Linked DNA regions of Drosophila melanogaster. The protein of the gene in region 3 interacts with the protein of the main gene of each other region in a pairwise test. Each region holds a gene or a part of one and is shown on either strand. Other genes may lie near its edges. The genes, in order: CG16972, msi and CG8460.

Region 1 (7,755 bases), 5.0 Mb from region 3:
TAGATGAACCGAACACCCGGTTTATCACATATAGCAATTAATTATTGTGCAAACTAATTTGGGATATATGTATTGTTGTTAGCTTAAGCGCCATAAAGAGTGCGAGTATCGCCGGAAAAGGCAAATTAAACATTTTCTCTGAGTAATCTGTTTTAGAATAGCCACTGTAAGCGTACAATTATAAATAGATTGCATAGCGTATAAATATAAATATAATGCCAAATGTCCCGGTCAAGCGTGGAGAATATGGACATTTCGGATCCGAGAGACCTTGAACCTGAATTATGTAGACATTTCAGCCGGACGACGGCAATGGGTGGATATTTGGAACGGGCAGCGAGACGGCACCGTTTCACAAAGATTTGCTAATCAATTGAGGAACCCTGGACGCTTCTTAGCACGCCTAAAAATGGGGTTTAGTTTATCGTCGACTGATTACGGTTATTGGTATTGGAAACCAAATTGGAATTGAAATAGTAGGGTTCGGTTGGCCGTGGTGTGGCATGGAATCGATGGCACCGACGCGGAATGGTTATGCTTTGACTCACTTTACCGTTAGCGGTGAGTAACGACGTGACGCAATGGGCTGCCCTAAGAACCGTTAGACATTGTGGACCGAATTCCTGGAGGCCCCTAAATGTAATGTAGATGACTCACCATCCATCGCACCAGACGCGCACATCCTTCCGCTGCTTGTCCGAATACCCATTGCAGGCGCTGGTATCGCCATTTGCCTCCATCGTTGACTTATTGAATTTTCACAATTTAATTTAATTTTAATTTAGAATCCGGCTAACGGGCGAACATTAGATTCCGGAGAGTATGTTTCTGTTTTCAGTGCTCGTTTTGAAGGCGGAAACTCGACGACAGCGACGTTCACGCTTCGAGAGCTGTAAGTTATTTGTTCTGAGCTACGACGACGCCCGCTATATATCAATTCCCATTTCACGACCGAGCTACTCAGTTCAGTTTTCGTTATCGGTTTCGGACTCGGATTCACGTTCAGACTCGGAGCGGAATTGGTCTCAGATTCTCAGACTTGCGTTATCAGCGCGCGGGCGCATGGGAACTTCTTTGGGGCGTAAGTGCGGTGTGTTTAGCTTGGGTTTTTTTTTAGATTCTTTCATTTCTTTTCTCACAATTTCGAGTACCGTGAGAGCAGAGTGGCCGCATCGGTGTTTGTCCAAATATACCATATGCCTGGTGCGATGAATACCAGCTAACGCGGATTTTGTAAACATCAACAGCTGATCGAGATATATTGGGAATAACTTTAAATTGGCAAATTTTATGTTACTAAGCTAGAACTTTTATATTAAGCAAGTACAAATCTGTATTATTATACGTTAAAAGGGTATTAACTCTATTAAATCCTTATGAGTCGATCACCCCAATGAAATGTATAATATTTTAGGATATAACAAAGTGTTTTGTTTATAAATAAATGTAAATATTGTCACAACAATTATTAAAAAAAAAGTGTCATAGAATTAAACAACGAACACTACTAATAACATTCACAATTAAAATTTTTTTTTTCATTTTAAAGGTATATTTTATTGATTGATCCCACTGTAAAAATAATACCGATGGTATTTTAAGAGGCATATTGGCCATGGCGATGTGAGATAATACTACGGTGTTTCCCACGGTCACACAGGATAAAGCAACTTAAAATATTAAGCCTATCAAATAAGAAATATACAACGCACAGCACGCAGATATACGAAAAATAACAATCGAAGGAAACCGACCAAGCCATGATAATGTAATCATGATCGTCCACAGTCAGTTCGGGCATTGTTTTGTAGACAGCATCAAGTATATTTTTTAAATTTCACGTGCTAAATTTACAAGAAATCCTACCACAATTACTAAACGAGTCGACGAGGGCTAGATAATCCCAATCCCATTCCCCGTACCAACGCGATGTCCAGAAGAGAAGCCAGCCTGATGGCCTACGTAGCGGCGGAGGAACACCTACTGAACCGGTACTCGCCGCTGGAAGGCGACGAGATAGATACGGCCAGCGAAGCTCCAGGCGACGCATCGGACGTGGCTGAGGATCGGGAGTATCCCACGGATCTTGTTGCATCTGTCACCAGATCCTCGAGGACGGGAGCAGATCTGGACCCCGCCGTGGACAGCAACCTGCACGTGATCTCCGACGACTCGGACACCCACAGCTTTATCTCGAGTGGCAGCGGCTTCAAGGGCTGGCCGGAGGAGCAGCCGTCTTCCAGTTTCGTCCCTCAGAATGAACCCTTAATATTCGGACTTCGCCGGCAAATGATGATGACCGAAGAGACACACCAAGCCCCAGTATGGGCCACCTGCACACCGGCAAAACGTTCGTACAGCAGCCACGAGGTCATCGAGATCAACGGTTTGTTAATCTGTTCCATTAACTATACAAGGAAATCTCTTCCATTTAATTGATTATGAACATTTATCCCAATTGAAAATATGAAATATCTAATATGGTAAACTCACTCAATCGCATACTTTTCTTGTTTTTTAGACTCACCCGAATCTGTCCAGGATCCGGGCATTGCACTAAGCCCCGGCATGCTGCTGACAAATGGCAATGTTGACCAGTTCGAAATGCTGTCCCACGAGAATGATGAGGCTGAACATGAACTTCAGGTGGCCGAAGAAGGGGAGCAGTGTGTGATCTATGAGGCTGTGGATGGAGAGAACATGGTCGTTTTAGGAGAAGAACACTGCTGTGAGATCATAGTAGCTACCCAGGGAGTGGCATGCGAGCAGGAGTTCGCCAGGGCCATCATGATGGCCGGAAACGGTACCGGTGCATTGCTGGGCTTGCTGTCCGAGGAGAGTGATGCGAATGAGTGTCTCAATGGGACTGCCTACATCGAGGAGGTCGTGGAGGATATGGGTGTGGCCGAGGCACGATTGGCGGCTGGAAACAATGTGTACCTTAGTGATGCAGCGCTAGAACAGCCTTTAGTGCACCAGGATCTGGTCGACGACGAGGCTCCGGAGGAAAACGAAAACGCCACATTCTTAGACGATACACCGATGGAGGAGGAACGCCCAGATATTTGTCAGGTGTATGATCACGAACTGGAGGACCACGACGATGAAGAATGCGAGGACGCAGTCATCCAGGAAGAACCAGCCCAGCCTATCGACATTGTAGCATTCGAGGGACAGGAGCCGCTGCCAAATAATCCGCAAAGAAAGTTGCTTCGCGAACACAGCAGTCCCACGGAATTTCCCGTCAGCTCATCCTCCATGCCCAACGCCAGTGACCACTACGACTATGAGGATGAGTTAACGGGCGGCCGCTCTCCATCCAAAGTGGCTCCACTGAAGCGAAAGTATCCGCCGCTGATGAAGAATACGCTCCATGGAGAGGCTATGGATCGAAGACTGGCAAGCATTTGTCAGGCTCAGCCGCAGATGAGTCCCGCCGAGAAAGTCTCCAACTGGGAAACGGCACCCAGGGAAGAGTGGGCCGATGTCGAGGATGTGGAAGGCTTTGAAGCTGCCTTCAAGCAATATGAGGCTGTTACCGCATCACTCAAACAGCTTAACTTTGCCGAATTCCGTGAAGCACTGGTCCGGAATATGGAGAAGATCAGCCGTGAAATCATGCAAACCTCAGACGAATCCACTCAAGAGCTTGCCAGCTCTCAGTCGGCGGAACGGCCGGTGTATCGTCGCTATTTGCACATTCTGCCCACCGAGGAGACAATTGTGCTAGATGATGATGACGACGATTGCTACGAGGTGGTCGGCATGGAAAAAGCCTCTGTCACCACATTGATACCCGAAGAGGAGCTACAGGATAATCAACAGCCGGAGGAAGAAGAGATAGTGCTGCCAGTTGTTGATGACATAAAGAACACGGATTCACCGAATTTCGAGCAGCGGAACCTTACCAAGGAAACATCTACAGCAGACTTGGAGAGAAGCGCGCTTACTCAAACGGCGGGTTCATCCGCTGCGAATTTAGACGCATCCTTATCCCATGCTCAACCTTGTCCAACTGCTCCGGCAGGACTTACTGATTTTATGCAGGCGAACTTAAGCGACCGTGGGCCATCAGAAGACCAACAACTAACCAAAGCTGTATTAGATGTTATGCGTCAGCAGGTGCAAACAATGCAACAGCAACAGCAGTTTATGGAGCAAAAGATGAACCAACAACCACAGATGTATCACTACGAGGAACTGCCACAGGCTCCCCAACGTAAGACTTTTTATTTGTATTTTATTGCAAATTTAATTGGTTAATTTAAATTACAGAGATGCAAATGGAAGGGAATCAGGGGCCTTACGTTAAGTATCCGAATGAGCAACAGGAATTCTGCAACTATCTGGGTCTCACCGAACTGTCAACAGCAAATGCCGTGGCTACCGCAATGAGGGAACTAGCCAACAGCACTATCCCTCGCCGATCGCTGCGGGTGAGACCACAACAGCAACTGGACAGGATGCGTAGTGATGTGCGTGGCAAGCGGCGCGAAAGGGAGCGAGATAGGCAGCAGGATAAGGACAAGAAGATACCGTTGACCACAAGTAGTGAGCTTAGCACCGATAAAGAAGAACCCTCCCCGCCTCAGACATCAGAATCCGTTTCAAGGATGGCGGGGGATGCGGATGTCCATTTCAACTCTCAAATGCCTGCAGAGCATAAGCGAAAACTGAATCACTTGTACAACTCTTATTTTGCGGAAGAGGAAGAATGCTCTACGAAGAGGTCACCCAAAACCACCGACTTTATAGCCAGTTCCAAGTCCTTAAAGGATGTAGAGAGGCGTCCATCGCTCAAAGGACAGGAGCCGCAACGTCATAGATCCATCATTGATGGCGACGGCTATCAGAAACATCAGATAGACAATGAGTCTGAGAAGGGTCGGGTTCAGTCCGTTGAGGCGGCTTTTACTAAGATCTTCGAGGCTGCCGCACCTGCCCAATCCAAGCTGCTGGAGAGCATGCAGCAACGCTTGCGCCAGGCGCGTGAGACGAAGCCATCAATTTATATTATTAAGGCTACAAGCAATGCCTCGCCCCCGAATCCATCACACAGCAGGCAGGAGTCTCACATCTCACCGGCGCCCTTGAACTTAATCGGCGGCTTTGGTGACGTAAGCGCGCCGCATCCTTCTGTCATTTCCCAGCCAGCGAAGAAAAGTCCTACAATAACCAGTCCAGATAAGGAAACTCCAGCCCCCTTACCAGTTGATACACCCAAAAAATCAAAACATAGGAAAACCCATGGAGCCACCAAACCTGTTGCCGCTACACCACGACGCCGCACTACAATGGGTGCATCCAGTCTCGGGAACGAAGCACGTGCACGCGATTTGGTTACCCGCTCCACCACGCATCTTAATTCGAAGCTACTTCGTAGCCGCAAGGTTAGTCTGCTCAAGAGCTACGCCCTGTCGGACGAAATGGCTCAGGGACGATCGAAACGGATGGCTGGCGGTGCAGCACAAACCACCAAAAAGGCTCCAATGCCCAAGGCAGCACGGACGTCGTTAAAGAAGCCGGCAGATAAAAGTCTTCCTGAGCAACATCGCTTGGAGCAACAGCAATTGGCTCCGCCAAACTCTCCCCGAAAGATGAAAGGTGTCAAGGAGACTGAAACTGACACGACAAGTGCAATGAAATCTAGTCGCCTTACTAAACGGACCAAGCGAGCACGAGCCAAGTCACTGCCTTCGAATATTGAAAGGGTGACTGAGCCTGTGGCAGCCGTTCCTAATGCCAATGTATTGAGGCTCGCTGACCTGGCACCAGAAGTGCCCAACACATTCGCGCCTACACACAGCCATCTGGTCAACTCCACAGCCAAAGAAGCCGCTGACAAGACCTTCGTTCATTCCCCCTCCGTCGCTCAATCGCCTTATGCACAGCCCGTGCTTATTTACCCGCCATCCCCAACAACACCGCCACCGAATACGGAGCCACATCGCCCTCGCCAGCAAGCCGGAAAAGTCAATCCAGCTGACTTAGTCCTGGCCACCCCTCCTGGGGGCCTGCTGCGACTCAGTCAGGGATCCGCGACGCTAGCAAATCCACTTTCTGCCAAGCACGGCCAGGTTCTCTATATGTACTACGAGCTGGAACAGCTCATTGTGCTGCAGGAGAATTGCATTACCTTCTGGAAGTACTCCAAAGTGTTCAACGTGCTGCATCAACCGCGACATAATCCCTCCTTTGATGGCGCCAGAAAATCTCCATCTCCAAAGCTGCCTCAAACACCTTCGCGCGAGCCCAAAGACGTCGAGCAGGAGTTGAAAATGGGCCCGCGATGGGTTTACCTGGGCAGAGTGCGGCGCCTGACTAGCGGTGGGTTATGATCATTTATACACTTTACGAATCTTTCTAGCCTCTTTGATGCATTACAGAGAAAGAGATCTTTACGCCGTTTGGCAGCCGCATTTGCGTGCACAATTCGACGCCGGTGTACCTGGAAATGCGAAGCAGGCCGCTGGACCATCACAAGAGGGAGGTGAAGCTAACCTCGCTACATGTGAATGTGTATTACTTCTGCGAGGAGGAACTACGACCCCGTATGCACTCTGTGCACTTGGATGCTGTCAATTGGTGAGGACTATCACGCAGTATGCATAAATTCAATGACGTAACCTACAACTTTCGTTATTTAGCGAATGGCCGCATGTCATATACACAACTATAGCGGATTCGCGTTACTTCGTTATGGCATGGCAGCAGGAACTGGTGATGGGCAAGTCGCGCTCGGGCATTTGCAAATATTCACTGACGCCCACGCTGGATACGCTGGCCTCCATACGGGAGTTTAAGCAGTTGCGCCACGAGCTGCGTCACATTGAGTGCCTTTCAGAGGATCGCCTTATCGGCTACGGCCAGATGCGCATCACCGTCTGGGATCATCGCAGCGGCGATACTCTGATGAACTACGACTTGGGCCGGCCGCTGGGCCGTTGCCTGGCTGCTACGCACTATCCTAGCCTCGACTTGGACCAAAGCAGCATGCTGGTGCTTTATCAGCTGCTTAAAGAACCAAACAAACCGTCTGAGGTGCATGTGATCGCCTGTGAGCTTTCCCATGCCACGCCCTCGCACCGCCTGCTGCAGGTCCACCGCTTACCATCGCCGCAATTCGACGATGCCACGGAGGGCGTTAACACCGGTGATCATCTGATCATCAAGTCAGCATCGAACGACGAAGCCTGGATAAGTGCCGCCGATCCGAGACAGCTAACCTATTTGGCGCCGCAAATCAATGGAGCTCAGCGTTTTTATGCCCGCCACAAGTCCCAAGTGATCGAGATGTCCCCGCAATCCCTAACTGTAGATAGTATCGCCAATCACATGTTGAAATTGGCTGTCCAGCAGACCCAATCGGCGTAGACCTGTGTCGCGGAACTAGAAATGTGGAGAGTCTCGGCCTTGAACAAAGTTTTTGTTTTTTTTTTTCACACAAACCCATGTTTGAATATCACCCAGAATACCCGATCTATAAATGTGCTTTTGGCTGTCTGCCCAAGTATAGTTCAAATATAGGAAACTATAATAAGTTGCGTGTTAAGCCCTGTAGTCCTAACAATCATTTTAGTCGTAAGTAAGTCGGAGAGTAGTAGCCTTTATTATGCGCTATTTTGAAATAAGTGTTTTTGTTTCTTTCGTTCTTTTTATTTTTTCTAAAAGAAAAACAAAACTAGCTTAAGCTATCGTAGTTTTAGGCATATGAATTCAACTGTTTGATTTGCTACTATCGACTGAAGTAGTAAA
Region 2 (4,640 bases), on a different chromosome or scaffold from region 3:
GAATGCATTATGTTATTTTATTAGTAAAAGTATATAGTCATGCAACTTTTTAATGTTTACATTAAATGTATTTGTCAATATTTGTGTTTTCATTGATATTTGTATCTGAAGCGCTTTTCCATTTCCCATAACATTGATTTGCATTATTGTTTATTAATTTTAACAATTTTTTTTGGCTTTCTGGGTTTTCTTTGGCATTTCTTTGTTTTGGCTTTACGCTTTTACTTTCGCTGTTTGGCATTCGCTTTTGCCTTTTGCTTCTCGCCTTTCAATGCTGAATTCTGAATTCTCTTTTGCCATTGCCGGCTTTTTCGACACATACACACACGCCACTGCACACACACACACACTAACACTCAAGAACTCACACACGTGCGTGCCGCTCTCAAAATGGTGATAAAATATTGTTGTTTTTGCCGTTGCGGTTTGATAATATTTCACACACGGCTTTTAATTAAAAACATTTGAGTCTTGGATCGCTTGCATAGTTTTTGTATAGTTCGCTGCCGGTTTTCGTATTAATTTTTCATAAATTTAATCGATTTGCTTGAACAAAAACACATGCACACGCATACAGAAACATAAATTCATGGCATAAAAACAAATTTCTGCGACGTCATTGAATTCGCCGCAAAAGAATATGCGAATATGTGAAAGAGAAATAAAAAACCAAAGAAGCGTCCCTCGACAAAAGAAACAAAAATGTCTTCGAGTTGAGTCACTTACACGCACACACACCAGTACGTTATACACACACTCACACACACTCGCTGGTGCAAATAAACGACGCGTGACGAAAATTACACGGGAAATATTCGCAAAAATCCACGAAATTCGACAATCCTTCCGCTTCGGGCAAGGAATTTTTTTTAACTAACGGTGAAGGAGCGGCTGCGAACTGTTTAAGGCGAGCTCAGCGAATTTCGCCGTGCTGCGCTGAAGCTCTGCCGCTCTCCCTCTCCGCTCGCTCTCCACGCTCTCTCTCTGGATTTTGGGACTCTCTCTGCAGGACGTGAATACTGAGCAGAAAAAGGAGCAACAAAAAAAGCTTGGATGCAACATGCGGCTGAGTCAGTTAATGACGTACCAACCTTTTTTTTTCTCCCCCCTTTTGTGTGTCTTTTATCGCGCCTCTACCGTCATCAAGCTGGTACTCCCCCCATAATCATTTCCGATATGCAGTTCCATGCAGTTTCCCCAGACAATAGGCCTACAATATAGCCATATAGTCGCATATAGCCAGCACACTGAGTCGCCGAACGAGCGTCTTTATAGCCCGCTTTGTTCTCCCCCCAATTTAAAGTGAGCTCTGGAATAGTGGAACACCCTCAACGATAACTCCATTATCTATCCTTCAAACATGGAAATGTTGAAGGTTTTTTAAGCAACTTTGCAGATTTTCATAAAATACGTATTCTTATAAACGTCGAAAAATATGATAAAAAAAAAACAATTAAGAGCTTACTTTGTAGCATGTATGCAACTAAATTCAGTATTTCCAAGTAATTGTTATTTATAGGCTCTAACTTACTGTCATTAAAGTGTAAAGAACAGAAACTATTTTATTTATATTTCGAAAAAAAAACCATGACTTATTTTTGAGCTGTCGTTTTAAACAATTTGCACTTTACTTTATTGGGAAAATCCTAAAATATATTTGTGGGTTACAAAATTGGAGCACTGACTGTACTTGACTTTCTGTGTTTATCTTATATTGTTTGCTCAGCTCGTATTTCTTTTAAAGCTCAGCTCGCAGCTGACGCATTTTGTTGATTTTGAATGCTTAAAACTGAGAAACAAAGAGTAATTGTTTAATTCAGTTGAAGGGAAGGATTGCCAGCTATTTCGCTTTGATTTATGTGAAATTTACAAATCAAATTTATTTCGGTTGGAAAGTGTTCAGTTATCGTATCTGTTGTTTAAGCTTAATTAATTTAATTGTCACATATTCCATGGGATTTTGAACTGTACACGGGCTTATGCGTGTTTATTTCTTTTAAATAACGACAATTTGTTAAATTGTAGTAAAATATTTCATTATCGTTAGTTCCCTAGAGCCATTTCTGATTTTCTTCAAATCTTAGGTCTCCTTTCAGTTCTTATCGTACACAACTCGTTGAGAAATACACAAAACTGAAACGCAAAATTGTTGTTGTTGATAAAACTGAGCTAGTCACCGACAACAACCACAGTAAACATTAACCACAGCTTGTAGTTTGATAATGGATTTTTCTGTTTTAAAAATTGATGGTTTTCTCCAGTGCACAAATGTTCACCAATCTCGAATCGAAATTTGATATAAATTTAATCCATTTGAATTGAATTTTGTATCAATTTATTAGTAAAGCACTTATTTAATTACACATGTTTTATTTAGTCAAATTACTGGGCTTTTTATCTCGAGCTGAGAGTTCATTGTTTTATATTATTTATACACACATATCTTGAACTCGTCTTTTGTATGGATTATCGGTCTCTTAGTCATAGCGAATTAAATTGCTTTATGTTTTGGCATTCATTAGTTAAACATATCATTAGTTAATAAACCATGAAAGTTGATTTTAGATTTAATGATAAATTTTGTTTATAATCTTAATAGCCATGAAATACATATTTTATTTAGCCGCTCAAGTCATTGATTTGAATAAAGCTTGATGGGTTGTGCATGCATGTGTAGAGAGATTTCGAATCGTATTTTTAATTAATTTGCATGCACTGGCATCCGTTTTATGGATGCGGTTTGTTCATTTAGCTTAACAATTTAACACGTAATTTAATTCAGTCATGCAACATGTCAGAAACAGATTTTCTTATTATTGTATTTTCTAGGGGCGACAAATAGGAATTACTTTAAATGCGCGGCAAACAAAATTCAAGCTTTGTTTGTTTGTTTATTTTCCATTAGCCCACTTCGGTTTCGATTTCGATTTTCGGCCCAGTCCAGAATCAAGTTAAGACCTGGCTTTATCTGCATGCACAAACGGAAATCAACGACAAAACGACGACGACACGATGAAAACGAATCCACGAATCGCTCCGCTTCGAATCAACTGGCTGTTGTAACGGTCGCAGGCAAACTGAGTCCGAAAGATACAGATACAAGTACAAGCGGCCCCCGCGGAAAAGTTCTCTCACCGCCTCTCGCTTTTTATACCTCTTCCTCTCTTTGTCGATCTATCTCTCTCGGTTGTTTGTCGTTTGCGGCAAGCATAATAAAATAAAACAAGTGGTCGAGTTTTCCAACTTGCAGATACCCGGTTTTTAGATACAATAAGTTTTAGATACACTAAGCTTAACTTCCCAATGATAAATATAATTTAAAAAATTACTTTAGGAATTTTATTTAAAAAATAGATATAATATAAAATATATTTTAAAATAATACTCTGCAAACGCAATATACTCTGGGAATTTCTGAAGTACAGGGTAATCCAAAAGGAGAGCGGAATCGTTCTCTCTCTTGCGATGCGATGGCAACAACCACCCACAACATAAGCGGTTCACTCGCCCCCACCACACCACCAGCGAAGGAACAAAAACAAGCAAACTCTCTCTCCCATAAACTGAGAGCGCGTTGTTGTTTGCGGCGAAGTCGCTCAAAAAACGCCATTTGGGGAGACAGCAACAACTTTTGGGACTCATACTGTTGTCCCGTTCGCACTCGAGCGCTCTCTAACTTCCGGTCCCGTATGCTGCGACGTAGTGTTGTTGCTGTGGCTTTTTCAGTGGGGAAATGAAAATGAGCATCATTTGGTATTTACTTGGTATTTTTCGGTACTTTAAAATTGTTGCTTAAGTGCAATAAAAAATTTAATTTAATTAATTTGAAGGAAATGCTTGTAATATTGTAATTTTTATTTAACACACACTTTATTATTATTTTACCTTTACCATTTTTATATGATTGTTAAACAACGACTTAATCCCAGTTTATAGCTTATTTTATAGCGTTTTTGTCGCCTGTTGCACCCACCGCAATTACCAAATGTCGGCACGCCCCCGCAAAATTCAAAATTTACACAAATTTTTTGCAAAATCGCAGACGGGCGCTCCCAAATCAGAAGAAAAAAATCTAAAACAATAATTTCAGCGGCTTATTAGACGGCCTAAAAACATCAAAGGCCTACCCATTCCTAAGCAAGATTTCATGAAATTTGCTCCTTTTTTTATTTTCTTTATAATTCACAACAAAACGCGCAACAAGCGCAACGAGTTTTCTGCAATCGAGCAGCTGACGGCGAAAAAGAGTTTTTTTCTGTAATATATTTTCCCTTATTTTGTTTGGTCCATTTTTTCATGTTGGTTCCTTTTTTGTCGGGACACAAGAAACTTGTTTGCAGAGCTTCGGGCGATAAAGAAGGAGAAATATATAACAATAGCAACAGCAACAACAGTGACTGAGGCAGACAGGTCAAAGGAGCAGTTTTTGCCCCTGCCACGCCTCCATTTCGTCTACATCTTAACCGCCCACCGCCTGCCACGCCCCCGCCGAAGCAGCAATAAATTCTGCCAGAAAGCGTCTTCGATTAGTTCGGAAATGGCGAGAGAAGTGACTGAAACGAATAAAAAGAAAATGTTCTTAGAAAAAGTCGTCATACGTCTTCTGGACTAAGAGATACCTCTTAATTCATTATAAAAGA
Region 3 (4,162 bases):
ACGTCATGATTTCCCGCGACACTGATGAGCGGAATTCCCGGTGGTAGGTGGAACATCTTCAGGTAGCGCCACACATATTCCTGGAACTGCTTGTCGCTGACCATGTCGCCCTCGTCGAACAAATCGCCCAAGACGAAGACCACGTCGGGCTGGAACAGACGTGATGCCGCCTGAAAGGCCCGCGTCATGTGCCACTCCCGGTAGAGCTTGTCCAGCCAGTGACCACGATGCGGTCCCAGCAGATGCGGATCCGCTAGAATCATTGCCCTAAGCGGATCGTCCACATACTTCTTTCGCTTTATCTCCGGCCACTTGCACTTTTGCAGCACCACAAAGTCCGCCACATATTCGCAGAAGATCAGGGCGCACAGCACGATCACAAAGCAGGCATAAAGAAAGCGCATTTCAGGATTTCTCACCGGCTAAAAAAATAATAACAAATTTATTCTAGAGCTGAAAAACCATCAGCGATAGTATCGTTTTAAACGAGTAAACGGCCCGATATAAATTTAAAATATTCGATAAATTAAACAGTGCTGTCAAGCGGCTGTCGGTTGACTAACAAATTGGCGCCTCATTTCAAAGTTGGTTACTAAAATTGTAAATTGGAAAAATTATGAAGCATTATGGCTTATATATAATTTCCTTTATTTGGAATAGGTATTGTGCATTGCATGCTGCTTACAGGCTAACTAGAAGAGATCGTAAAAATAGTTTAGGCCTTGGCCAAGTTCCCAGATTGAAATGCCAGTGCCCAGTTCCTGGGCGAGCTTTATTCGCTCGTTTATGGAATAGAGAGTGGGATAAAAGACAATGTGGCGACCGTCATCGTTTCTGAAAGTAATGATATTCATCATCTTCGCCTTACACTCTGCATACGCTGCAGTAGAAAACTCACTTGATTTCAAAGAAATTTTCCACATCCCGCTCATCGTAAGTTAGGTGCTTCTTCACATGCCTGACTAGATCCAAGTACTGGGAGAAGGTGATGGGTCCACCTCCATCGGGCGTGTAATCATTCCCGTACATATTCAGTCCCAACAGAATTTTAGCCCTCTTAGCCGTCATATCAGCGCAACCTTCTGGAGCTATTGTCTCCACAGCCTTACGGACGAAATATAATGGTGCATTTGCTCCGGGACGCTGCACGCTGGAGAAGTCGTAAGTCATCAGAGAGAAGGCGTATATGTGCTTGAACAGCTTGTCCATGTGCTTTTCTCCAAAAAGGTGGCCTGTTTCCTTGCGGAATGGAGGAATGACCAAAATGAGTCGCAGCTGTTGCTTTTGTAGTTCTTTGGCTAAGTGACGTAAAAGAAATTTAAATTATTAATAACAAACAAAGGGTTACAACGCATTAAGCTCACCCATTTGCAAAACCAGTGTGTACAGAATTTTGTCATCTATGCGTCCAGCTAGCTGGGACCACACCTCCAGGACGAGTCCATCGAAGCCATTATCCTTGCAGCACTTGATCAGCACGTCGTTGACTTTCGTCCTCTCCTGGGCGTCGCTAAGCAAGAGCTTAATGTCCCGATCAGTGAAGTGATCGAATATAAAACGGGGAAACACTGAAATCCAAGGAAAGTGAGTTTAGACTAACGCCAGCGGGTATCATTTTCTCATACCTTTAACCGTTCGCTGATTGTGCACCTGTTTACCCTTTCTCCGGACATCGGTTAGCCAACCCGCATCGATGTCATGGGTTCCGGCTACGGCATAACGATCTCCCTGCTTAACAATCTGCAGCCAAACCGGCGAGATAATGTCGAACTTCTTGGCAAATATCTTAGCCACATCATAGCCATGCGAGTTCCACTACAAGCAAAGCAAACAATAGATTAATACACATGCACAAAATGTGGGAGTACGTCCTCTGCTTACTGGAGTCACATAGCCCAAGGTGGTGCCATTGAAGCGTCGCAATCCCGTCTCCTTGAAGTACCCGCGATGATTGCTCACGATATCCTTGGCCAGGGGCTCGGGACTAACCAAGCCCAGATCGAAAACATCTTGGTCTTGCGGACCGCCACGCAGAGCACTCTCCTTGGTCTTGCTCTTCGATTTGTGGCTGTCCGGGGCGAGGGTTCCGCGGACGGTGGTCAGCAGTAGAAGCAGGAGAGCGACGCGGAGCAGGAGCGCATCAGGCGCACGCATTTCGACAGAAGGACAATCAGGACCACAGCATAAATCGCACAAAAACAAATCGCATACAAAAAAAAAGCCGGCAGCAAAGTGACCATAGCGTACACTAAACGGCAAACGGCATCAGACACTCTAAATGGTCACCCTAAATTGGTAAATAGCAGTGTGCTTCAGAAATTATTACTTGGACTTGACTTAACATTATATTTGATATATTTTATTTTATTATTTATAAGCTTAAAATTATATCACCGAATTATTTCAACTTCAAACAATAACGAGAACTTAATATGTTTCTTAAATTGCGCATCCGATTTAAATCACCCGCTCTGCCTTTAACGATTGGTCTTCAACAATCGATTTTAGCTTAGAGCATTGCCAGATCGCAATGAAAAGCTGCTCAGCTGTTAGAAGCGTTTGACTTTTTTTTGACTTTGATACATTTTCTTAAGCGCAATTGCAATATAATTTGCAATTGCTGAAGAAACAATGCGCGATGTGCCGAAATCGTAAGTATGAAAACATCGAAAATAATCCCATATTAATGGCGAGGATATTTCCACTTCCAGTCTCGGTCTCTCGGTCACAACTCCAGGCGGCAGTTCGGGTGCTCCGGACAGTGGTCGCCACAACAGCTTGGAGGAGATCAATCTGGACCAGTTCCTGAAAACGTCCAACTACGAGGACACGGTGAAGCAGCTGGACATCTACTATGGCATTGGTGAGGATTTATATAACCTTGGAGTCGTCTGTGGGGCGGCCAATTGAGCACCAATTGACGGCGTCTATTAATAAGCATCGCACATCGCGAAATGTCGACGCCCCACACTTGATTGTAAACAGAATCGTTTGTTTATTTGCATAGCCAATTAAGACGCGATAACCGGGTGAATCTAACACTTTCTCTTCCCTCAGTCAAGCGTCAACTGCTGCGATACCAGAGTCCCATCACCGGTTTGTTTCCGGTGATGAGCACCGACCAGGTGGTGGGATCGGTGCGGGACAGTGTGTATTGCGCATCCGCCGTGTGGAGCTTGTACCAGGCGTACAGACGGATCGACGATGACCGCGGAAAGTCCTACGAACTGGGCCAGAGCACTGTGAAGTGCATGCGAGGCATTCTTGAGTGCTGGGTCAAGCAGGCATCGCGGGTGGAGCTCTTTAAGCAGCGCCAGTCCAATCAGCACGCACTGCATAGCAAATTCCAGCTGCACACCGGAGAGAAGATATATCCGGATGAGTTTTACAATCACCTACAGATAGATTGCGTGAGTTCTAGGGGATTTCTTATCGAAGAGTTTTAAAATGCATTGAACTTCTCCTCCTAGGTTTCTCTCTATCTGTTGTTCCTCGTCCAGATGATAACCTCTGGCCTGCAGATCATTTACACCCACGACGAGGTGGCCTTTGTCCAGAATCTAGTGTACTATGTGGAGCGCGCCTATCGTACGCCCGACTTTGGCATGTGGGAGCGGGGCTCTAAATATAACAATGGCACCCCGGAGATCCATGCCTCCTCCATTGGCATGGCTAAGTCCGCCTTGGAGGCCATTAACGGGTGCAATCTGTTCGGCGAGAAAGGAGCTTCATGGAGCGTTGTCTATGTGGACATTGATGCCCACAACCGGAATCGCAGTATTTTCGAAACCATGCTGCCCAGGGAATCAAGCTCAAAGGTTGTGCTAAAATATTTTACTTGTAGTTTGCATCATTTAATTAAAGTTTCAACTTTTAGGGAGTTGATGCTTCACTGCTTCTCACCCTTTCTTTCCCAGCCTTTGCCTCGCATGAAGATCGCCTGGTGGAGCAGACCAAACAAAATGTTGTAAATCGTTTGCGCTGCAAAATGGGCTTTAAGCGCTTCACCCGTGATGGATTCCTCAGCAAAAACGAGGACAAATCGCGACGCTATTATCACTCTGGCGAGCTAAAGGAATTCGAAGGCCTGGAATGTGAATGGCCGCTCTTTTTCATAGCCATGATTATCGATGGCGTGTTCAAGAATAACAATGAACAAATT

What was found.
Region 1: the proteins of CG8460 (region 3) and CG16972 interact in a two-hybrid assay, tested with the Drosophila melanogaster proteins (one large-scale study listed by BioGRID).
Region 2: the proteins of CG8460 (region 3) and msi interact in a two-hybrid assay, tested with the Drosophila melanogaster proteins (one large-scale study listed by BioGRID).

The regions. Positions count from the first base shown.
Region 1 is NT_033779.5:13,197,175-13,204,929, reverse strand, and holds the start of CG16972 (uncharacterized protein), read left to right. Parts: upstream 1-1,634; 5' UTR 1,635-1,929; coding exon 1,930-2,386; intron 2,387-2,521; coding exon 2,522-4,219; intron 4,220-4,275; coding exon 4,276-6,327; intron 6,328-6,386; coding exon 6,387-6,585; intron 6,586-6,647; coding exon 6,648-7,374; 3' UTR 7,375-7,755. Other genes in the region: Pect (phosphoethanolamine cytidylyltransferase), read right to left, coding at 658-740.
Region 2 is NT_033777.3:25,514,559-25,519,198, reverse strand, and holds the start of msi (musashi), read right to left. Parts: upstream 3,082-4,640; 5' UTR 2,850-3,081; intron 877-2,849; exon of another isoform or gene 727-876; intron 1-726.
Region 3 is NT_033779.5:8,195,285-8,199,446, reverse strand, and holds CG8460 (uncharacterized protein), read right to left. Parts: upstream 2,255-4,162; 5' UTR 2,155-2,254; coding exon 1,882-2,154; intron 1,816-1,881; coding exon 1,626-1,815; intron 1,569-1,625; coding exon 1,365-1,568; intron 1,299-1,364; coding exon 899-1,298; intron 835-898; coding exon 693-834; 3' UTR 634-692; downstream 1-633. Other genes in the region: PGAP5 (Post-GPI attachment to proteins 5), read right to left, coding at 1-404; CG8475 (uncharacterized protein), read left to right, coding at 2,632-2,651, 2,712-2,863, 3,058-3,410, 3,471-3,818, 3,878-4,162.